4 linked regions of the Drosophila melanogaster genome follow. Changing the gene in region 3 together with the main gene of any one other region gives a genetic interaction. Each region holds a gene or a part of one and is shown on either strand. Other genes may lie near its edges. The genes, in order: Hsp27, Acn, Atg7 and Ire1.

Region 1 (4,004 bases), on a different chromosome or scaffold from region 3:
TGATGTGTGTGAATGTAATACATTGGGTGTGTTGTGGTGTGTCCTTTTTAGTCTTGCTCTCTCCGAGCAGCGCGGCAACACTCCCGTTTCTTCTTTTAAATTCTTCTTTCTCTCGTGCTTCGGATGTGTTTTGTTTCTTAACTTCTAAGTCAAATGAAATTTTAAAAAATTGATCTGTGATTAAGCGTCATTGAATATACATACATAACGTGCATAAATGCAAGCAAAAACATATTGACAGCAGCCGCAGCCGTAGAAAATGCAGAAAAATACATAAAATACATTTTTACTTAACATCAACTAAGATAAAACCAACAACAGCAACATGACAACCACTAAAAGCTTTTTCGCGGTTAACAGCGAAAGCTCCACGGAGCCGAGAAAACTGAGATATATCCGTATCTCAACACCCAGCTGAGAAATATGAATGAAAGCCGTTTTAGATATAGATATAGAATTAACAGTAAATACTTATGATCGCTACAAGTTACGAGCATAAAACAACCAATATGAAATCAGAACGGGCAACTAAATTTTTTATTATGTATTAAATATTTAAATAAATATGTGCAAACAATTGATTAAATTATTTAAATGTCGTTCTTATCTTGGATTTTCTTTCAGTGTGCGCGGAACTGGAAATATTTGCATGACGTTTGTCAAAATGTAATTGAAAAACAAAAATCATTTCCCATTTTTTTTTATATCGATTTCTGAATTGTGCAAAATCATTACAAATCATCATAACAATCGTCGACAAAGGTTAAGCAATTGGCTGACCATTTAATTTTCCACAAGTCCAATTCAAGGACAAGGAAAACAGAATATGTACATAAGACCCCTTGAAAGTTAACGACACCCAACAAAAGCCGGTTTACCCTAAATGCAAATACATTTGCAGATTCGAAGCTAAAAAGGAAAAAAAACCAACAAAAACTCGACAGCTGACTTCTTTTCGTGTATTTGTATTTATTGTATTCGTTTATTCACAAATGAAATGCAAAATTCTCCCGAGTGTTGCGCCTGTTCTTGTTACAAAAAGTATAAACTCAAAGGGAGCAATGAATCCTCCAGTTGTTTAGCCTAATAATACACACTAAAATTTTGTTTTTTTTATGCATTATGATAAATGGAGTTTAAAATCACTTAGTCTAGGATGTTATGATGATGATGTAATGATGTGATGTGTGTGAATGTAATACATTGGGTGTGTTGTGGTGTGTCCTTTTTAGTCTTGCTCTCTCCGAGCAGCGCGGCAACACTCCCGTTTCTTCTTTTAAATTCTTCTTTCTCTCGTGCTTCGCCAGCGAATCTCGTCGTCTTCTTCCTCCTTCACGACTTCTTCCTCTTCTAGTCTTCTTCCTCTTCTCGTCTTCTTCATCTCCTAGTCTTCCTCTTTTCGTCTTTTACTTGCTAGTCTCCATTTTCTCGCCGCTGCCATTTTCGGCTTTTCCATCGCCAGCCTCGGGTGCCGGTGCCTTGACGCTCAAATGGGCAGGCCCCGTTTGCTGGATCTGGACAATGCGCTCCGACTTGGCCTGTTCCTTGCTGGGCGGCGGCGGGGCCTTGAGGGTCAGCACACCGTCGGATGAGACAGTGGACACTACCTCGTTGGGGTCAAAGCCCTTGGGCAGGGTATACTTGCGCACAAAGTGACGCTGGATCATTCCATGGCCGTCCTCGCGCTCCTCGTGCTTCCCCTCTACCACCACGGTGTTGTCCACCACCTTGACGGTCAGCTCGTTGGGCTTGAACTGCGACACATCCATGCACACCTGGAAGCCATCTTTGCCCACGGCGGGCAGCAGAGCGTTTGGACCCCCCGACGCGCGACGTGACATTTGATTGTGGTGGCCATGGCTCCTCTCGTACGGCGAATAACGACGACGACCCAGTCCCAGGGTGTTGGGCAGTAGCAGGCGACGCGGATGGAACAGATCGTGGGCATGGACGCCAAAACCGAAGTCATCCTCCAGCAAATGCCCCCAGTCGGTGCGGTAGTCATGATCCAACTCCCGGGCCAAGTGCAGCAGTGGTATAATTGACATTTTTGATTTTTTTTCTCTTTATTCACAACCCTGTCTAGACAAAGGAATTTTTTTTGCTTTTTCGAATTTTTTTAGCGAAGTTTGCTTCAACGTTTGCCTTCAATTTTTCAGTTTAGACTGTGCTCGGGCGACGTTGACGCCGGCTTTTATACTGACGCTGGGCTCACACACACTAGTGCATGGCAACCAGGGACGGAACTTTAATAAAATGATGGGGGGTTGCCATCTTCGTTAGATTTTGCCTGCAGAGAAGGTTTTCCCTATGATCCCCTAATGCAAATATAATAATATTTAGATATAGGCAAGCAATTATTAGCCTGTCAAACTTAAAATTTAAGCGACATTTAAAAGCCCCTTTGAATACGCCCCGTAATTCAACAAACAGTTTTCTCTCGCATCTTCTGGCTCTTTCTAGCACAGCCGGCTTTTCATAGAGAGAGGGAGAAAGAACCAGAAACTTCTTGACATTTCTTTTCTGGGGAGTTTCTCTTTGCGAATAAAAAGCAAAACGAACAGTTAAAATGCAGTACATACATATGTATGTACATGTACGTATATATGCAGATATATGTATTTATTTAAAGCATTTTCTTCTCTTATCGCTCTTTTAAAAGCTGTCTTTTCAGAGTGCAACAGAGCTTGTATTTTCATTGGACAAGTGCATTGAACCCTTGTCTCGCTTCGTTCTGCTCCTCATGTTTGCCGTTCTTTTGTTTGTTGCAAACATTTTTGCAGTTGCTTTCGCCACTGCTTCGCGAAGTGGGAAACGGGGCAATTGAAAATTTTGCAAATCATTGCCAGTCTGTTGCAAGTGTTTCGATTATTATATGTACATATGCATACATTTCTATATATATGTATATGTGTATATAGAATCTTTTTATTCTTGGTTCACCAGTTAACCAAAATACATAATTATTTTCAAAACTACATGCATACATACATATGTATGTGTATGTGTGCATGCACGTAATTATTTGCGGTAACATACAAAAATGAAGTTCAATTTATACATGTACATAGGTACGTGCTATAAGGACGTACATAACGTACATCTCTTGTAGAGATGACAGAAATTCATTAAAAAGAAGAGAGTGAAAAGGGATGTATATTCTTATGTACGTATGTATGTACATGATGTACTTATGCATGCTTTACATAAGGATTTAACCTTGACTGAAGTTCCTTACATTCATAGCTTCAAGTCTCTTTACCGAAGTAATGTAAAAAGTCAGTTATGTACACAAACAACAATTAAATAAAAATGCCATTTTACGTGACACAACAATGCAATATACAATGCAGAAAGTAAATTCTAGAAACCGGGATCACAGGAAAAAGGGCCAAGCTAGCCAAACAATTCCCAAAGTAATAGTAATAGTAACCCATAACCAACCAGAAAAACAGACCAAACACAATTATAAGTAAGTGTACTTGTTATTTATTTTTATGGGTAATATTAATTTCGCCAATTTAGTAATACATATTCCAAACTAAGATTAAAGCAGGACACCCTTAATGGCTATTGTGTATGAGTGAAGTGTCCTTGGATAACTACAGCTTATAAAACAGATGTATGACTTTGATAATGGTTAAATAATGCAGGGCATCTCTCGGAACGAGTCCTCTACTTATCGTTGCCATTGTCCTGCTCCACCGCCTCCTTGGGATTCTCCTTCACATTGAGATGGGCGGGTCCCACCTGCTGGATCTGAACGATGCGCTCGTTGCCCTTATCCTCGATTGCCGGTGGCTTGGGCACCTTGATGGTCAGGACACCATCGGAGGACAAGGTGGAGGCCACCTTATCAGCCTCATAACCGGGTGGCAGAGCATAGCGGCGGACAAAGTGACGAGTGATGAAGCCATGGTCATCTTCGCGCTCCTCATGGTTGCCCTCCACCAGGACGGAGTTGTCCTGCACTTTGACCACCAGTTCGCTGGGCTTGAAGTGCG
Region 2 (5,705 bases), on a different chromosome or scaffold from region 3:
AGAATCCTCACTGGCGCTTCTCTCCATTCAGGGTTGTCTTTATCTCGTTGAGACAATACTCGGCCTGCTCTACGGCATCGGGATTCTGGTGTTGCTTTCCCAGTTTCCACGCCAGTCGGCAAGCGTTCTCCGCCTGCGACATCAGGCCCTCGCGAAGATACACCAAACCCAGATTTGCCTGCAGAATGCCTTCCTGGGTGGCATCCTTTAGCTCCTTAGTCAGCTCCATGGCCTCCAAAAGGGTCTCCCTTGCCTCGGCGTACTTTTCCAGCTGTAATTAGTCTAATGTGTTTCAAGTACTTTGGAAGAATAGACGCACCTACGTTTACGTACGCCACACTGATGTTATTTAGGATGGTTACAGAGGCGTCGTTAACGGCACCATAAACATTTATGAGCGTGTCGAAGGCCTCCTTAAAGAGGTTTTTAGCCTCCAGGTATTTTCCCTGCTTCATCAGCAGCTGCCCGAACCTGGAAAATAAACATAAGGAAAAGTATTGAAAAAAGGCTTGGTTAGCGGCAATGGAAACACCTTCAATACCAATTCTTTGTCAAGCCATACAGCTCCAGTATGTCCTTGTCGTCGGGCATTTTCTCCAGTAGCTTAGCCAACTGCTGCAAGGTCCAAGTGAACCCTTGAAAGCTCTTTTCCAGATCCCCTTGCAGCTGAGACATGTGTGCTATCTTGGAGCTGATGTGAAGTATCTAAAGATGAAAGAGATCTTAACTGGTTATGGTGTCTAAGTGGGTCACCCACCTTGGGACTCTCTTCGGTGTGACCCTCGGCAAAAAGCCGTTTCATAACGTCCGTGAATATCTTCTCCGCCTTCTTAAACTGCTCGCGTTCCATGGCCAAATTGGCCATCAGATCAAACACATATGTGATGCCGTCCTTGCTCTGAATATCCTGCGCCATTCGCAGAGCCAGGTGAAGCATTTGCTCGGCCTTGTCGTACTGTTCCCTCTGAATGCACAGGATTGATCGTTTGATGGTCTTGATCAGTTTTTCCTCCGGAGTTTCCTCTTTTTCGTCGGCGCCACCAAACAGATTCAGAGTGAAAGCAGCGGAAAATGCCCAAAACATTCCACCGGAAGAGCCAGAAGCGGGCGGAGCTGCCCAGGACACCTCGTAGCCCGCAGCATTGGAGCACAGCGGTCGACATCCGAATTCTGACCGTTGGTGATAACGGCTTCTCTTCAGCGGCGCAAGATGACAGTAATCTCTGGGATTCACGACAACGCGGAACCTGCCCATAACTTGCGTAAACTTGCAAATATTTCTCACTAACATGTTTAGGGCTTTATTAATTATTTAACTAAAACCTATAATGTTGCAGGTATGGTATTAAAAATTATGAAATAGCACGTATGTAGTGTTGCAAAGCGCGGTAAAGACGTTTTAAAAGTACATTTCGTAACGCTTGATTAAGAACATAGAAGACTTTTAAATAATTTCTACTCTATCATACTTTCGCAAATATATTTATGTTTCGTTAAGATTTCGTAAACAAAGGTTTTTAAATTTTTTAGAGATGACACTGTCAAACAAAACTTTATCGGCAACTTTGGTACCTAACATTTCGTTCATAAGTTAAATCTGCGAACAAAAATAAATTGATAAGTAGAGTTATTAACAATCTCGAATAAAAAACATTTAAGTACATTTGATAAAGTTTTTCGTAATAAGGTACTTCCTTCCCCCATCGCATACGATACTATCGATAGCCGTCAGCGGGGCGATAGACCGAGAGAAAGCATCCCTGTATATTGATGGCGGATTGACGCTCTTTCGCCTAGTAAAATTATTTTTCTTATCAAGAAAAGGTGCAGAATATAACGAGGAGTGAATTCGCAAAGCAGTGCATGAAATAGCTGTGGGTCCGCCGGCTGTACCTACGTTTTATTTCAGATCTTTCCAGCGTCGCAGCGAGTTTCCAGCGATTTTCGGACAGCCATGAGACGTCGCAGCGAGCGAAAAAAGTCGTCGTCGCCCGCTCCGGTGCCGGTGGCAGTTGCACGGAGAAGTCGCCGCTCCCGCAAGGTGTCGGAGAACGAGAAGACCGAGGTCGAGACTCCGGTCGTGGCCCAAAATAATGAGGCCGAATGCCCCAAAGTACCGCCAGCCTCTCAAGAAATCAATGAGGCGCGGGCATCCAGTGAAGAACGTGCCGGATCTGGAGCATCGCCAGTGCGCAGGAGTCGCGGCAGCCGGACGACGCCTAGAAAGCGCACGGAGTCCAAGGGCGGCGACAAGAAGGTGGACACCATACCCGAGGAGGAGCCGGAGAATGGAAAGGATGTTGAAAAGGACGCTGTCGAGGAGGAAAAGACTGTAGCGCCACCCGCGGCTAATGAGAGCGAGTCCGAGGACCGTGCCAAGACGGAGGATCAGCAGGCTCAAGACGATGAATCCTGTGCTGAACCCGCTGTAGTCAAGGATGATGATGTTGAGAAAGAGGACTTAAAACCGCAGCAGGAGGTCCCCACTTCCACTGATGATGACACCAAGCAGAGCGAGCCAGAACAAGAGGTAAAGGTTCCTTCTCCTTCCAGCAAGGATGAGGAACATCTAAAAACGACTAGTGATGTATTAGACATTCAGACAGAAGAGGTCGATGAAAGGGACGAAGAAGCCTCCGCTCCTGCGGAGCGCAGAGAAACCAAGAAGAGGCACAAGGAGCAGATAAAGGAACAGCAACCCGCAGAGGAGGAGGAACACAAGGAAAACCACAAGCAGATAGACGAAAACCCAGAACAAATTCACGATGAACCAGCAGATCTTTCGAACGACAAGCACGATCCATGTCTAAACAGCAGCGCAACCAACACAACCGGTGCTCCAGTTCTGCAGCAACAACGGTCGGTGCGGAAGCGAAAGTGGCTGACTAACAAAAAGTCTTCGGATCGTACCCCGCCCGTGCTTGCCATTTCGACGGATTCCCTGAAGAACATTATAGCCGATGTGGTGCAGCCAGTGCCCCTAAGCGATGTGCAACTGGAATCGTCCTCAGAGGAGGAAGGCCTGGTCACCAGCGATCGCGATTCAGAGCGATCTGCTTCACCGGCGCCCCCATCTGAAGCAAGCAAAGACCGCGATAACAAGGGCAATACCGCCAACACCTGCGACACCACCGCAGAGGCGTCGGCAGATAATGAAGGAGCAGGAGCCGCTCCTCCAGCAGCAGCAGACACGGTTTCAGCCCAGGTCAGCCTGAGCAAAGCCACAGTTTCCACGGCAGCACCACACATAGTCCGTGACCCTAGTCCTGCTCGAAACCGCGCCAGCCACGTGCTCTATATCACCAATTTGGTACGCCCCTTCACAGTGCTGCAGCTGAAAGGCCTGCTGGCGCGGACGGGAAAGATCGTTGAGGAAGATGGTTTCTGGATAGATCGGATCAAGTCTAAGTGCTATGTTGCCTATTCCACTGAAGAGTAAGTATTGTAGTTGCGCAAATAGAACCTAATCTCCAGGGAGTCAGTGAAATATGCCTATAAAAAACTCACACTTGCAATTATTTTGCTTTTCAACCTTTAAGCGAGGCCATCGAAACCCGACATGCCCTGCACGGAGTTCGCTGGCCAGTGTCAAATCCCAAATGTTTGAATGTAGATTTTGGCAGTCGCACTGATATGGATCGGGCAATACTTTCAACGAAGGACGAGGCTCCGAGGTACGGGCAGGAAAACACCAGAGATAACCAGCAGTCGGGCAACGCTTGGTCCCGGTTGGAACCGTCTGACAAAAAAGTAATGGATTATTATCACAGCATAGAAATGCGGAGCTAACTTGTCTTTTTCCTTCAGCCTGCGCGACCTGTACGCGAATGGGATGTTGGCAAAAAGGAACCAAGCGACCACGACAAACACAGCAACGACAGGCGTCGGGACAGCAAGGATCGACTGGACTCGAGGTCTAGGGATGCGGAGCGAGCCGGACAGGAACGAAAGCGTTCTAGGGACAGAGAGGGGCGAGGACGCGATCGGGAGCGGGAGCGACTTGATCGCAATGCACATGCAAGGAGCCGCAGTGGATCGCCAGGTAAAGCCCGTGGGATACATTTTCCTGTCATGAGAAATTCAAAAACACCCCGTTTAAATAGCGTCCAAAACTAAGAAGGAGAATGAACCGCCTATCAGACTACTAGATGATCTATTTCGAAAAACCAAGGGAACACCTTGCATATACTGGCTGCCACTTACGCCGGAAGCGGTAAGTTGCTGAGATAAATAGTTCCAATCAACGAGAATCACTTCTAGACCAAGTCCGCCTGAACAATAAAATTTCTTCCGGCTTTCAGATCGCAGAAAAGGAGGCATTCCGTCAGAAACGCATTGAGGAGCACAAGCTGCGTATTAAGGAACGGGAGGAGCGCCAGAAAGAGCGGGAGAAGGATCGTGACCGCCAGCGCGAGACGCGTCGCAATCGTTCCAACGAACGGCGACGATCTCGCAGTCGCGAGCGGGAGCGAAGACGTTACTAGGCGGAGGCTTGAGATTGAGCAAATAAATGTTGATATCTCAAAAACTAAATCAACATATAAAAAAAAACTTCAAGAAACAGCAACTAAAACTTCAGCAGGGTCTCATCACCACCCGAATAATTTCAATTCTTTTCTTTCGAGCGTTTTGCGTTCCCAATTAGGCCGACGTTTGTAATATTCAACTTGAACTGAACCGACTTCAAATTGAATACTTTCGCCAACGTCTCATCCACATTCTGATTTTGAGATTTCAAACTCTCTTTTCTTCGTTATTTTTCTCATTGTTGTTGTTCCATATATATATAGCATATATATTTCCATATATATATATATAACCTGATTTGATTTCTTTCCTCAAATGTAGCATTTTACAGCGCCTAACGTCACCTCACCCCAAAACGAAACCACAGCAACCAGAAATGCGCCGGCATCAGATCAGCATCAACGCCATGGAAACTTACCATCGGACTCTTGAAACTACTGCAGCAAGTTACCATGCTTATATCTATTCAATAAACAAACATAAAATAATTGATTAAAATATTGTAAAATCAAATATTTCTTAAAATTTTAATGAACTTAGAAATACAATTTAACATCAGTCGGCAAGCTTGTGACAATGCCAAAACCCAAAAATGTGTTTTAAATGTCTGAGAAATATGCTTATCGCACGACTTATTCGAACAGAAAAAGAAAAGAATGTAATTCCTCAAAATTATAGAAAATGTTTTTGATTCGTAAGAATCATGGTATTTAGAGCATATTATTATAATTTTAATACTCTTTAATTTATATATAAGGTCAGATTTATAAAGTATGAACTTTTTGCCATTTATTTACTTTTCCTTATCAATTTTTAGTAAAAACACTGCTTTTATTAATAATCGCGAGTCTAATTTATTGATTAAACTTAAAAAAGAATAAATGAAGTTGTCCGTTAAAGTACCAGAATACCCCCAACAATAAGTTCGTTTTAATCGATAGTCCATGTTAATAAGCTATCGGAGCCGCTTAATGATTTATGTCAATAGTGCTATCGATGAGTTTTAATTTGTATTAACATTAATTTAGTGAAAAAATGTGGTCCGACACAATATTAATTGTTTTTATATCGGTTTGCACCGCCTTCCTGGGCGAAGGTAAGTAAAACGCCAGTTAATTTAGTTAACCCTACATATTTGTTTGCCTAGGTCTTACATGGGTGATGGTTTACCGGACGGA
Region 3 (6,879 bases):
TTCATACAACCATTTAATGAAAATTTAAACATTTTATATTCCTGGACTAAAAATATAGTTTTAACTTTACATATCTCTTTAAAGTATAACATTTGTGAGCGTATTTCTAGGATGTCATCTACTTTGACCGAGACATAATAAGCAAATTTACATATGCGATTAGTTCGTGGCTTTCTAACCAGGTTTATTCAACTTTGAACTATTCTTTTCGCATACCTGGCCCACTATGTAAATCATTTGCATATTCCCAAAACAATTTTATACGAACATTCATCTTTGTTTGCGTGTTTTCGCCTTGAATAATGCAGCTAATAACATATTCAATGACCGATCGGGAATTGAAAACAATATTTTGGTATTTGTCAACCACAAAAATGGGAATTCTCAGATCAGAATAATATTTTCGCCTATAAATGAGTGCTCTTATCAGCAGAAACACGTTTCGTACAAACAAACAAAGCTTAAAGGCTGCGACTTGTAAATTGGCGGAAATACATTTGTTCCCGTACTTAAGCACTTTTATTATAACAATTTTCAATAGTAAATTCACACTTTTATTATTACAATTTTCAATAGTAAATTCACATTTTTCTTATGCCTAATTTTCACATCAATTTCATTTGAATGATTCACAATTTGCTTAACGACTAGATAGAATAAAAGCATTGAAGTACACACATTTTTGGTATAGACATTGAACTATAAATGCTGCAGAAAATTAAAGCCACAATAAGCTGAATTTCATATTTAAGATATTTTGCTTTGAAGATAAAACTTGACCAATTTTGTGGAACCTAATCCTCGTCGCTATCGGACATGTCAAATTCTTCATCATCAAAATCGATAATCTGTGCAAAAATATGAATAATTTTTAAATATCTCCATTAGATTAAACACAGGAAACAAACAAACCTCGCTGTTTAACCGCTTGAATTCGGAGATTCCCGTCAAATCCTCCAGAAACTTGGCTGTTTCAAAAGTTTTAAACAGGAAAGCATGACCCTCTTTTTTATATTCATTTAGGACGGCCTGTAAGCGAATATATTAAAAAAAAAATTTTAACAATATTGAAAACGCTATCAAAACCATTTTAAAAGATTGTCAAATCTTACCGCTGAACAGGCTATGCACTGAGCAAACTTTTGAGTGGCGGGCAGAATATTCTCGTAGTTGCACAGCATTCCACGGATGGAGTGAGGCAAAATTCCTAGCAGACCCTCCGGCACCTTTTCTTCCGTCTCCTCCGACCTGCCACGCCCACTCTGTGCATAGTAGGCGGGTGCCAGCTCCTTACGAGGATGCTGCAGCAAAGCCACCAACAATTCCACCGCATAGCTGGCCGCAATGTTGGATACTCCGGGTCGTGTCACTGTGCACTGTTGATCCAAAGTTCGGTCTTTGAGCGACTGAAAATGGAATAGAACGAAATGCAATGAGTATCTGTATCCAAATTTGTACGTACAACTTTATAAAGCGAGTCTATAAGAGATTTTTTTATACAGAGTTTTTTTCAGTGTGATTTGGAGCACATTCGACGCCGGTGCAGTAGTACGATCAAGAGCTTTTGAAAGCTTTTCTGTGTCCACAAACACATGCTCCGAGCAAACAAAGATGACGCCTTCGGGCGAGAACAAAACAAATAGCAGCGCTTAAAAACCAAAAACACAAGATATAGAAAACTTCGGCGTTTGTATCGGTTACTTGAGCAACCCGCCGCTCCGCCCATCACTGATTAGATAAAGTTTTAACATTTGGGAGAGCCGGAGAACTCCGGACTCTCCCACGGAACTATAAAACACATTTTGCGCTTGATTGTTCAGTACAAAGGCGATAGTTAGTTGAATTGGTAATTGCAGGAAGGAATCATGTTGACCGAATTCGCTGGCAATCTATCGCATCCGCTGGAGTTTGGTCATGTTCTGGAGGTCGTGGCCAAGACCATCGATGGAGCAGCCAGGTAAGTGTTGTCCGGCATTAATGTAAGACCGCTTTTCCGTTTTCTGACTAATTACTTGTCAAATTGGGCTTCTTATCAGTACGTGACTAATCGATTGTGATCATTTGGTTCGGATAGGTTCCACATTAACCTCTGCACGGCCAAGAGCACGGTCGATCCGAACGCAGATATTGGGCTACGCTTCTCATGCTATTTTCGGAACGATGTGATCGTTCGAAATTCCCGGATAAACGGCGCCTGGGGCGAGGAGGAGTCCCATGTCATGGACCCCAACACCCTGCCCAATCCCATCGTCAGTGGCGAGTTCTTTTTGGTCTACATTCTTTGTTGCGAGGACAGCTTTGCCATCTCGATAAATAGCCGAGAGTTCTGCAGATTCCGCTACCGCATGCCGTTGGGAACGATTCGTGCTCTGGAGATCCGTGATCAGATCCAAGTCATTAAACAGGTGGATCATCGTACTGTGTTTCCAAATCCGTGGCCAGCCGTTCACGCCTCGGACTACTTTAAGGCGTTCAGTAACGATCAGCCAATTTTGTTTAGTCCGGGCCATGTGATTGTCCTTACAGCTCGGTGTTTCGAGAATAAAAAGGGACAGTTCATAATCAAGTTCATGGACTCGGATACCAAGCGCGAAGAGCTACACTTCAGTGTGCGTTTCGATGAGAAGGCAGTAGTGCGCAATTCCATGAACAAAAATTTTGAGTAAGTTAACTTTATAATGCCGTACCTCTTTGGGCGTTAACTAATTCTTTTTATAGATTCGGAAGCGAGGAGCGTCATGGAGGTTTCCCCTTCGTCTTTAACCAGCAATTCAAGCTGGCGCTTGCGTTTACGGAACGCGAGGTTTTGACTGCAGTGGACGGTTATAACTTCTTCAGCTACACCTGGCGCACACCTAATGCCATGATGAATCTAGTGGGTTTCAAGGTGACCAGCATAAATGGCCTGGTAGTGCAGATAACTGGTGTGGATCACCTGCAGACGGGGGATCCTACGTGCGCTGGCTTCGAAAAATATTCCCGCCATGATTACGAATGCGTTTAGTAACCATGTTAACCCAACTAATGAAGTCTGAAAATACAAATGTTATCTTAAACTATACAACAAATGGGACTTACATTTCCAGGGGCCGTAACATCGTTACAAAAGTAGCAACCTAATTGATCGCCATTAATGCACTTAAGTCCTTCGATTTCTTGGCCATCGTCGCCTGCTTCCTTACGCGTAGTGCCATGTCGCATTACCAGATAACTGTCAAAGCCTAAAGCTGCGTTGATGACAATCTATAAGGGAAACATTTTAGGTACATCTCTTCTGAAAGGTGAGTATATGATTGTTCCCACTTTTTCCTTTGCCGCTCCAAGCAGGGTGGGCAGCCAGCGGCTTTCGCGCGAATCTGTGAGCAGAAAGATGACATCATGGTCCTGCACAAGCTTTTCGATAACCTTCAAATGCTCCTTCGTCTGGGCTAGAAGCGATTCTCCAATAGTATGCCCAGGCATGGGAATCTCCAGCACATAACCCGCCGTTTCCGCAGACGGATTGATCTCTTTCAATCTCTGAGCAGCTGTAGTCGCCTTCATCCGATTGCCTGCCACAGCATCTGCATGCGTGTAGAGATTCTGACGCACTGGATTAGAGAACCCAACCTTGCCGCTGTCCAAAAGGGTTATGTGCTTAAATCCCCAGGACTACAAAATAAATAAACTATTAGTTATCAGATCAGTTAAATCATTTCGTATAAAAGCACACCAGCAGATTTCTAGCTACAGCGCATCCTAAAGTACCAGCTCCAAAGAGCAGGCATTTTGTTTGGGAGATGATTTCGAGATTGAGATCGGGAACAAGGCGCCACTTCATTAGTTTCAGGTTCAGGTTTACAGAGTTCTCAGCGAGTCTACGGAAAGAAATATTGTTAAATTATAAATAATAAACAAGTTACTTTCAACTGTCGTGGTAGCTAACACTAAGGACACACCTCAATGAACTGATAGTTCTTATCATTTAAGTCTATAGCTATTAACTTACTTGGCTGGATCCATGCTGTCCCTCATGCACACCATTCTTGGCCCCATTTTGCCATTTTTATTTAGCTCCCAGCCCACGAACTTTATATTTTCGCTTTGGCTAAGATCGCAAGCTTCAGTCTGAATCACCTTCCATACAAGGCTGTCATCGATGTTCATTTGTTGATTGTGTCGCAGGCCAAGAAACTTCAATGGTTTTCCAACAAAAGAGGGACTGTAATAGACCGACAACTGTGTGAACTGATATCATAACATTGCTATTCCTACCTACCATTGCTGAAGCAGAAAGGCAGCATAGTTTCGCATTATCCAAGCTGGATGCTCATACTCGCTGGGATCAGCAAAACCAAAATAACAGAACTCAACATTTTTATCGTCAAGGGAACTTAAACTACGGGCTTCGAAAATGTTCTTCTCCACATTAGCATACAGAATGAAGAAGTTCTGTGACTCAGTGGGTAAGGCCTTTAGAGCCATTATATAGCTACTACTATTGGGCAAGTCCCGCAGTTTTTGGACGGCTCCCTGAAGCTTTAAGGTGGGCGTCAGCGGGCACGGAAAGGCGAACCAATAGTAGTAGCTGTGACACTTTAAATCGGCAAAGGAGAGAACAAAGAACCGGGTCAATAGACTGGGATCTCTCAAGGCGCCACCACTGCACATATCAGCCAGCAGTTCCTTGCCCTCATCGGCCAGCAGTTGTAATTTGTCCAGGGCCTTGAACTCTTCGATTGTGTTCTTATTGTAGATGGTGCCTATAGCGGAATGGCTGAATTTTGGAGGCTTTGCCATTCTGGAATGTGGGTGGTCAAGCGCTGGTTTCATCAAACTCGTAGTTTTCAAGCTCACCTGTTGTAGGCCGTGTAGTCTACTTCCAAAAGGCATCCACTTGCATTACGATTTGTGTAGTGTCCAGTAATGGAGCGTTTCGAGTCGGACAGGCGATCGTGGTCGAGCTTAAGCTCCGCTAGCTTGTGCCAGAAAGTGGGCGACACAAAAGATTCCCACGGAGCAAATTGCAAAATTATCTCTTTTTCCGTGCTCATGTTTTGCTTAGGGCGTTGTTTACGTTCAAACGTTTGGCTGCAAATTATAAACAAACAAAGCTCTCGATGGCGATAGACCAATGAGAAGATAACTTATCGATAAGTACAGTTTTCCATACTTAGGTCGAATCCTCTGTTGCTTTGGCAAACTAAAAGATATACTTTAACTTCATAATTTTTTAAGCTTGAAGAATAAAATAAAAATTTTAAGACACAATAAAACTATAATAATTTTAAGAGTAGAATATAGCTTATTGTCAAGTTACACTGTAGTTCTTGGAAGTGAGATTGTCAGCCGCACTGCTATATGGTCACACCAGCACTTCCACTGCTGACGAAGATTGACCAAAACAGAGACTGAAAGTGATCCAAATAAATTGAAGATGGATTTACAGCAGCTGGAGGAGCAGGCTCGCCAGGCAGCGCTCAAGGACATACAGAACATGTTGCAGCGACCAGGTCAACTGGAGAAGGTGGAACAATATCGCCACCGAATCGCCCGGAAGAAGGCATCCGTTGAGGCGCTCCTTAAGACCGGAATGCAAGGACAGCTGGACGGGGTCAGGGTGGGACTTAAGCAGTTGGAGACCTGCATGCAGGACGTGCGCGAGGTAAGGCGTCGAATGGACGAGGTGGAGCGCCTGCTGAGGGGCGTTCCCGAAGTCTACGACGCTTTGGAAGTTGTGCGGGAGGAAAACACAAAGCACTCCCAGTACGCCACCGCCATGGAGAATCTGAAGCACATCTTCAACGTAGATGCCAGCGTACAAAAGACGATGGCGCTGATCGAGGATGATAAGCTGCTTAATGCCCATCAGTGCCTGGCGGATCTGGAGAATTCGCGGGATGATCTTCTCTACGAACTGCACAAGCAGCCCAAGCAGCATGCGTCCGACAAGATCACCCTAAAGCGTCACTTCGAGAAGGTTGACACGGTATCCCAAGAGCTGGAGAAAAAGCTGCGACTCATTCTTAGCCGCACGCTGAACACTCTGCGCAAGAAGCCCACCATCATCGTTACCGCCCTACGCATCATAGAGCGGGAAGAGAAAAACGACCAGTTCGCGTTGCAGCAGCAAAAGGTCACAGGATTCCTGCCGCCTGGAAGACCAAAGGCTTGGCGCCGCATGATCATGGACGTGCTACAACAGTCGGTGATAACGCGCATAGAGGGATCCAAGCTAGAGGAGCGGGCCGATAACAAGATGTGGTTAGTACGAGACCTGGAGATATTGCGTCAAATCATTCTCGAGGATCTGCGCGTTGTGAAGTCCCTTTGTGTGCCCTGCTTCCCGCCGCACTACGACATTTTCGGCGAATATGTCAAGTTCTATCACGAAGGACTTTCTAGCTATGTGAGTAATCGTCAATCATTTAAATTGATTAATGTTTTTATACCACTAATATTTACTAATTCCAGCTTGACAACATTGTGCGCTCGGGCTTGGAGGGCAATGAATATGTATCAATGATGGCTTGGGTTACACACACCTATCCTGGCGTCGAGCTGATGTCCCATCCGGATCTTAATGTGGATGTACACCGACAGATAGGTACTCTGCTGCGTCCGGAACATCTCAAAGCGCTGGAAGATGAATATCTGCAAAATATGCAGAGAAACTTCCAGGAATGGATGACCAAGGCCGCAGAAACGGAGAAGCAGGAGTGGTTTACTGAGACGGTGCCCGATCAGGATGAGGAGTACTACCACACTTCAGCGCCTGTCATCATATTCCAGATGATCGACCAGCATCTGCAGGTGACCAACACAATTCATCAGGAACTGACGTTCAAGGCGTTGGTAATGAGCATTCAGCAGGTGGAGATCTTTGGCCAGACATATCTT
Region 4 (7,586 bases), on a different chromosome or scaffold from region 3:
GCGCGTTGGGAAGGAAGTGGCCGGCTATGTCAAGCACGCCGGACATCTTGTGGAGATCATGGTCCGCAATGCCGGGCACATGGCTCCTCACGATCAGCCCAAGTGGCTGTACATGATGATTGATCACCTTACTCATTACAAGCACTAGGAAATGCGTACTTAAACTATTCAGTACAATTTGGAGACCAAATTTAAGCCTTTGTTTTTAAAATTAATCATGAATAATTTGGTGTGAGTTTTGAATGCATAAATATGTTGATGAGAGCATTGGGTTGTTAATACTCAACTAAATTCATATAATTTGTTACAGAACTGTATATAACAACAAAGATTAAAACATCAAAAAGAAAATCAACAAAAATGTTGAGATGAAATTAATCCTAGGTTACTTCCCTTTAGTTATTCTATCCAATATAAGCTACAGTCAATTAACAAAGCTTTTAATTCAACTAGTCCAAAAAACGCAGTTAATAATTAACTATCCGTTGCTCCTTTAAAGTTCCTGGCCACCAGGAAGTGCTCGGCGGAGTCTCCGCGGCTAGCGCGCGGTTTTACTCTCTTCACTTTCTCATAAAACCTAAGCATATCTCGCTCCAGCTTGGGCACGTCGCCATTATCCCACACCTTGACCACCAGATGGGCCTGCGGAGCAGACATGGCCAGGGCAAAGCGCAGCACCTCGTAGCAGAGGTTAGTGATGCTCTCCTGGTCCAGCATCCTCACTCCGGTGGCATTGGGTGCCATATCGGACAGCACGCAGTTGACCTTTCTGTCTTGTAACGCTTCCCTCAGCCGCTTTTGTGCCAGCGAAGAAGTGAAATCCATGCCGCCAAAGATTGTGGCACCCGGCACAGCATGGAAATGCAACAGGTCGATGCTAAAGACGGCTCCCTGTGGCGCCCGCTCCTGCTTTCCGTTGGCATTGGTCCGCTCCACGGCCACCTGGGTCCAGCTGCCAGGAGCAGCTCCGCATTCCAAAACTGTGTCTCCGGGCCGCAGTATTCCGTATTTGTCGTCGATCTCCAGTAATTTGAAGGCACTCCGGCAGCGATAGTTCATCATGCGGGCCTTCTCCACGTACGGATCCGCCAGTTGGCGCGTAAGCCACTCCTGGGAGCTCTTGCTCCGTCCTTTGAGGTTCCGCGGCTGCTGTTTGGCATACTTTCCGCCTATTTCCGTGTGCAGCAGGCGTTTAAAAACACAATTACCCGTAAAAACAAGACGCATTGTGTAATATCGAAATTAGATCGCCTATCGATTTTTATCGACCAAAGTCAATACAAGTTCTGGGAAGTTTACACTGCAAGCGCAGAAACTCCAAAGCTCACATTATATTACCACGTATATGTTACAATTTTATCCATGTTGGAATAAAAAGATCTTTTCACATTTAAATTGATTTTATGGCAACAGCGATGGGTAACAATAAGATTTCCATTGCTGCCATCTCAAGCGTCAGTGTGAATGGGATATTATTTCGTTGCATATTTGGCTCGTTGCGTGCTCCCTGGTCACACTTCAAACCAGTACGGTCTTTTCCCAATTATCTGCCCACTGTCACTCTACTCCGCTCACTCGACGAACTCTCAACTCAACAATGGCGAACGTAATTGGAAAATATTGAACGCGAGTGCGAAGAAAATGTGAAATTTAGCACGGCCAGAGCTGCAACAGTGTTTGATGATTGAAAAGTTTTGAAAAAGAGGCGATAATATGCCACAAACAAGAAACGAAAACTGACTAAACGTGCAAACTGAATACGGATCGGAAATAGCAGTAACTAGTTCCCTCTCTCTTTCGCTCTCTTTTCTCTTCTAATACCCCCGCCCCGCGCCCTACCGGTTGCAAAAACAAAATGAGATTCTGCGTTGTTGTTTGTTGCGTGTTATTTTTGCTGGCCAGCGGGCTTATTGCATCAGCTACAGCAAAATCACAACAGGGCGACTCGGCAGAAGTCGTCAGCAGCGGCGAGGATGAGAAGACGGTAAGTGGGGGCGGCACTGGGCCGTATGACCCACTAAGGGCTAACACTGGACTACCAATGAATATTTCATCACCTTGCCCGATATGTTGTTCATAAGTTTCTCTCGCTCTTCCACAACCCGCAGGACTGCACGGACCTCGCCCGCGACGAGGAGGCGCTGATGGTGTTCTCCACACTGGGCGGCGGACTGACAGCCATCGATCCGGTGACCAGCGAAATACGCTGGACAATAGCAGATGGTAATTACGCGGGCACTCCGCTGTCCTCCACACTCACTGCACCCCTATTTTCCGGCCACAAGTGTGGGACTCGAAACATATGATGGGCAAAGAAGGGTCCTTATTATCAAAAGTGGGAATTTTCCAGCATATATCTCGGGAAATGGGTGTTTTTAGGTATCTAAATACTTTAAAGATAAAAAAACAATATGGTTTTGTTATTGAAAACATTCGAACTGGAAGCACTAAGATCTTTCATAAATGCAAAGTCAGGAAAATTTAATTGTTACCGAATGCCACATTAAGAATATTTTTGTTTTGTTTATTGTTTTGCTCATTGAAATGTGAGAATGTTTCTTTAGACCATTTAACAGCTAAATTTAAATCGTTTTATTTGCGTTTATTGTTGTTTTAAGCTAAATCTAGGAGTCTTTTTTTTTTAGGGAAATTGCCGCTTTATTTGCATAGTAGATTTAAAGATCTTAAGAGATCTAGCTATATATATATATTTATTCCCATGCTGTCACCACCCCTCCTGGAAAATTGCCACTTCACCAGGCTGTTGCACTCGCCGTTTGAAGTGCGAAATGCGTAGCACATGCATGCGCTCGATGAGCTCATCGCAGATTTCGTATCTGCCAGATGTAAGAGCCTAGGATAGATCTTTCCACCGCCTTTCGTGCTCTATTATTTTCACTCTCGCCATTAATGTTGTGTATTGTGCTGCGGGCCTGATAAGGTCCCGCGTCTAGCGCAATCTCGACAAGCGTTCTCGGCACACAATTCCACCAATTAAGTTGCCAGCCAGTGCGCCATATCACCAGTTGCTGTTCCCCCATACCCTTTCCGCAGTGGGTGGTTGGGACTTTGAGCCATTTTCCATTCGGTTCATTGAATATTCCCATAATTTCTCAGCGTGACGTATTGATTTTCGGTGGCTCTCAAGTGCGTTAATCTTGTGGTCATTTGGCTGCTTCGTATTAACCTCTGAGATTAGCTGGCATATATAAATGAGTCACCAGGAGAAAGATGTTAGTAAATTGCGCGATTAAAGGGGTTAATGTGCATAGCTTTCGTTTGAATTGGTGCACTTGTTGGCTACCATTAGTATTATTATGTTTGTTTAATGTGTATAGCATTCAATAGATCACTAAAATGGGGCTTCACTTATCTAATTAAAAAGTGAGGGCATTTTCAATTCGAATTATCGAATATTGCTTATAAACCTGGTGCTATTTTTATTTTCACTGGCTTTGTTGATTGATTTTCCACTTCAGAGCATTCATATTCGCCTGATAAGTAATGCCTCAAGAACTTCCTTTAATTACTCCCCAACTAAGTATTGGAGTTATGCCAAATGACTCTCTGTGGACAATACGCCCTCCACATGTTTGTTTAATTTCTGAAATAAAAAACCCACGCCCCGTGAAGATTATTTTATGTGATAGCTGCAATACACATGTATGTCCATTCGTATTATTAGAAATTTCATGCTGCCCGCTTGTCGCCGGGCTTCGTGGAACTGCAAATGATTGAAAATTCAGGGAGACAAACATGTGGACAGCATCTGACTAGCGGTTTCATGGCAGAGCGCACTATTTGGGCAGTATTTTTCCGAGTCATTCAAGCCAATAATATGTTTTTGATTCGCGGTAATTACACTGTTTCGCCGGCTCTAGCACAGCAGATCGGTGTACCGATTTGTTAGGTTCTATTACCTCATCACGAGACGGAATCAGGTTTTGTCTACGACTACCGCTAGGCAATTAGAATGCTCATGCTAATGAAAGTGCTGCGGCGAGTTAAATGACCTGCCCCAGAAATTGCGGCAACATTCGGTTAATGCCGGGAATGTTTTTGGGGTTGCAACTAATTATTGATAAGAATGGACAGTACATCGAATTGTTTGGTTTCATTACTCGATATTGGTTGACGACCATCTTTCCTGGCAATACTTGAGTTTTGTTTAAACCATTTCGTCAATATCGTGCATGCGATGATGGTCTCCATTTGCATTCGACAAAGTCAGAATTTAACGCTGTTGCCTCGCGCGAATTGTTGGCGATAACAGAAAGAAATTGCCAACACGACTGGCGTAAACACTTTGGATTTGATCAGCCAGCCATGGGTCCCCCAGGTCTATTTCGTATTTACCCAACTGCTGTTTGCTTTGGCTTTGTCTGCCGCGCCAAAAAGCCGCTTAATTTATTCGGGCCTTTTGGTGGAAAGTGTTCACGTTCTTTAATGTGCACCAGAAAATGTGCTCTCCGCTTGGGATGGGGTTAATGTATAGATTACATTTTCGTTCCCATCGGTATAAGTATGTACATACATCAGGAGATAAGCGTTATCGAGAACAGGTTCTGGTTATAATTTATTATATTTCCCTTACTTTACTCCACGTTAGTTGCACCGATATCAGGAACTTTTTATTGGAATTTGTTTACTGTGCACACTTAAAATAATTTACTGCAAAAGGGGTTCATCACTCTAAATTGAAAAGATAATAATAATAAGTATACTTGCTAACTAAAGCTGAGTATTGAATAATAATCTGGAATTCAGAAATTTCTGCTTAAACTAAAATTTTTAATTGATAACAGTGGGATTTTTTAAAATTCGTCAAAAATAGACATGAAATGTTCATTACTAGTTAATACTGGGTAATAAAAGGAAATAAAAAGAAGCAAAATAAAACTAAAAATATTGTTATTGCCGGCTAGTCAAATGTGTTTTTGGCGCGGAGTATATATATATTAGGTTATCTTGTCGTAACAAAACAACTTGTAATGAATTCGATGCAGTATGCGATTTGAAAGTTTAACACCACTCGGAATACATTTTGTGTGATTTTGCATATATTGTGCTTTTACATGGATGCAAAGGAATCGGACTTTATCACGATTTCGAATTTGCAATCATGTTTATTACTTTGTTTTTCTTTTATGATTTTACTTTTAAGCTATAATTGTATTTCTTTTAGATCCTCCTATAGTAGCAGAACATCAGGAGAATGTTCAGGTTCCGCACTTTCTGCCCGATCCTCGAGATGGCAGCATTTACCAGCTGGGTCAGATGGGCAGTCTTAAGAAGTTACCGTACACCATTCCCCAACTGGTGGCCAATGCTCCCTGTCGTTCCTCCGATGGAATCCTGTACTCAGGGAAAAAGAGCGACACCTGGTATATGGTGGATCCTAAGACGGGCAGACGCGAAAAGGTTATGGGCTTTGGCGATGCCACAGTGGATGGTAAGGAGGGCGAGCAGATCGGCTGGGCCACTTCGCGGGCCATCTATCTAGGCCGGACTCAGTACACGGTCATGATGTACGACAGCCTGGCTAAGAACAAGGATGCTAAGCCATGGAATATCACATTTTACGACTACAATGCTGTGAGTGCTCCTCCTGAGCTGGCCAAGGAATATGGTAAGTGCATCTCATAATATAAGAGTGTACACATTTGCTTATGATCTCCCGCACGCAGAGTATATACATCTGACCACCACCACCAATGGACAAATTGTGACTCTGGATCGAAAACACGGTAAATTTCTGTGGCAGCGCGATCTGAGCAGCCCAGTGGTGGCTGCATTCCTTTTGGGACCAGACGGGCTACTCAGTGTGCCATTCACCACGGTCTCTGATGAGGCTTACCAGGCCATCCTCGAGGAGTCGAAAACAGGAAATGTGAACACCGTGAAGCTATTGTAAGGGACATACGATATTCGTCCTGAATTCCATATTAATTGTAATATTTTCAACAGCCAATCCCTTTATGTGGGCGAACATCAAAAGGGCTTGTATGCCCTGCCTTCGCTGGTGGACAAGAACACGCCTCGTATTTCCACAGCACCACCTATAAAACTCCTGGATGGACCTACAGGAGACCAGAACAGCAACCAAGAGACAGATCCGCGCACCATTTACATTAACGATGTGCTGCAAGAGCATGCAGGAATTATGTTGGGACACTACAACATGCCCAATGAGGGTAATGGTAACCTGCAGCTGTCACCGACGACAGCCAGCAGCAAGGTGGTTCAAAGTCTGGCCACCATTCACAACTATAACGATGGCTACGGCCTGTTGGCCAATAATGAAAAGAACGCCGCCGACATTGGCGTGCAAACGGATCCCGAGCTGGTCGAAATTGGCATTGATCAGCGGACGAATGGGAACACCATTAATCGGACGAAGACAATAATACTGCAGAACAGCAATAAGGTGCAGGCCTTTATCAACGAGTGGTTTATGGAGCATCCTAGCGGAAAGGTGCATCAGATTCTAATTGTTATCGTTCTGGGTATGATTGCCTTGTTCTGGTACACCTGCAGCACAATGAGGGAGCTGCAAAAGCAGAGCGAGAATGGTTCAAAAACCTTTGCCATAGCCCAAAATGGATCCAATGGAAGCACTGGCAGCAATGGTAGCAATGCGAACGCTGAAGACCTAGTGGACTTGGGTAATGGACAAGTGCGTGTGGGCAAGATCAGCTTCAGCACAAATGAAGTGCTGGGAAAGGGCTGCGAGGGTACTTTTGTCTTTAAGGGCACATTCGAGGAACGTTTCGTAGCCGTAAAACGGCTGCTGCCCGAATGCTTCACCTTTGCTGATCGCGAGGTGGCCCTATTGCGAGAATCGGACGCGCACGAAAATGTGGTGCGCTACTTCTGCACCGAACAGGATCGCCAGTTCCGCTACATAGCCGTCGAGCTGTGCGCGGCCACTCTGCAGGACTACACCGAAGGAGATCGCTCGCTGGAACTTCAAAATCACATCGATGTTTGGCAAGTGTTGAGCCAGGCTGCATCTGGACTTAGTCATCTTCACTCTCTCGACATTGTGCATCGCGACATTAAGCCGCAAAATGTTCTTATTTCTCTGCCAGACGCCAAGGGCAAAGTACGTGTCATGATCTCCGATTTTGGGCTGTGCAAGAAGCTGAATTTTGGCAAGACTAGTTTCTCACGCCGATCGGGTGTAACAGGCACCGATGGATGGATAGCCCCAGAAATGATGAGATCACAGCGAACGGTACGACATGATTTTTATTATTACCCTACACTACTTCTTCACCATCACAAGAACTTTCTAAAATCGATGTCTTTCAATTATTTACAGACAACTGCTGTGGATATATTTTCCTTGGGCTGCGTTTATTATTATGTTTTAAGTGGCGGTCACCACGCCTTTGGTGACAATCTGAAGCGACAGGCCAACATACTCTCCCACGAATACAATCTGGCCAAGCTGCGCCCAGAGGACGACAGTGAGGACAGCCGAATTGTAGGTTATCTTCACCAAAAAGTTATAGCTAGTTGTTCTAATTACTTCATTTTATTTTAAAGATCCTTGCTGAGCAATTAATATCGGATATGATACA

Evidence for each region.
Region 1: of Atg7 (region 3) and Hsp27, changing one suppresses a phenotype caused by changing the other (phenotypic suppression), as found in Drosophila melanogaster (one study listed by BioGRID).
Region 2: of Atg7 (region 3) and Acn, changing one suppresses a phenotype caused by changing the other (phenotypic suppression), as found in Drosophila melanogaster (one study listed by BioGRID).
Region 4: of Atg7 (region 3) and Ire1, changing one suppresses a phenotype caused by changing the other (phenotypic suppression), as found in Drosophila melanogaster (one study listed by BioGRID).

The regions. Positions count from the first base shown.
Region 1 is NT_037436.4:9,382,230-9,386,233, reverse strand, and holds Hsp27 (heat shock protein 27), read right to left. Parts: upstream 2,172-4,004; 5' UTR 2,049-2,171; coding exon 1,407-2,048; 3' UTR 540-1,406; downstream 1-539. Other genes in the region: Hsp23 (heat shock protein 23), read right to left, coding at 3,676-4,004.
Region 2 is NT_033779.5:19,043,613-19,049,317, forward strand, and holds Acn (acinus), read left to right. Parts: upstream 1-1,742; 5' UTR 1,743-1,954; coding exon 1,955-3,435; intron 3,436-3,539; coding exon 3,540-3,750; intron 3,751-3,807; coding exon 3,808-4,042; intron 4,043-4,103; coding exon 4,104-4,213; intron 4,214-4,301; coding exon 4,302-4,484; 3' UTR 4,485-5,205; downstream 5,206-5,705. Other genes in the region: Ttc19 (tetratricopeptide repeat domain 19), read right to left, coding at 8-271, 324-471, 542-705, 758-1,291; CG10470 (uncharacterized protein), read left to right, coding at 5,563-5,623, 5,675-5,705.
Region 3 is NT_033778.4:18,619,927-18,626,805, forward strand, and holds Atg7 (Autophagy-related 7), read right to left. Parts: upstream 5,119-6,879; 5' UTR 5,034-5,118; coding exon 4,837-5,033; intron 4,781-4,836; coding exon 4,259-4,780; intron 4,202-4,258; coding exon 3,989-4,201; intron 3,858-3,988; coding exon 3,713-3,857; intron 3,652-3,712; coding exon 3,304-3,651; intron 3,244-3,303; coding exon 3,079-3,243; intron 3,061-3,078; exon of another isoform or gene 3,005-3,060; coding exon of another isoform or gene 2,719-3,004; intron 2,663-2,718; coding exon of another isoform or gene 2,075-2,662; intron 1,958-2,074; coding exon of another isoform or gene 1,866-1,957; exon of another isoform or gene 1,615-1,865; intron 1,407-1,614; coding exon 1,113-1,406; intron 1,030-1,112; coding exon 913-1,029; intron 849-912; coding exon 795-848; 3' UTR 540-794; downstream 1-539. Other genes in the region: CG5335 (uncharacterized protein), read left to right, coding at 1,866-1,957, 2,075-2,662, 2,719-3,004; Sec6 (secretory 6), read left to right, coding at 5,417-6,388, 6,454-6,879.
Region 4 is NT_033777.3:19,855,284-19,862,869, reverse strand, and holds the start of Ire1 (Inositol-requiring enzyme-1), read left to right. Parts: upstream 1-1,578; 5' UTR 1,579-1,855; coding exon 1,856-1,984; intron 1,985-2,108; coding exon 2,109-2,223; intron 2,224-5,185; coding exon 5,186-5,629; intron 5,630-5,687; coding exon 5,688-5,910; intron 5,911-5,967; coding exon 5,968-7,237; intron 7,238-7,324; coding exon 7,325-7,489; intron 7,490-7,551; coding exon 7,552-7,586. Other genes in the region: CG4572 (uncharacterized protein), read left to right, coding at 1-148; Mrm2 (mitochondrial rRNA methyltransferase 2), read right to left, coding at 475-1,227.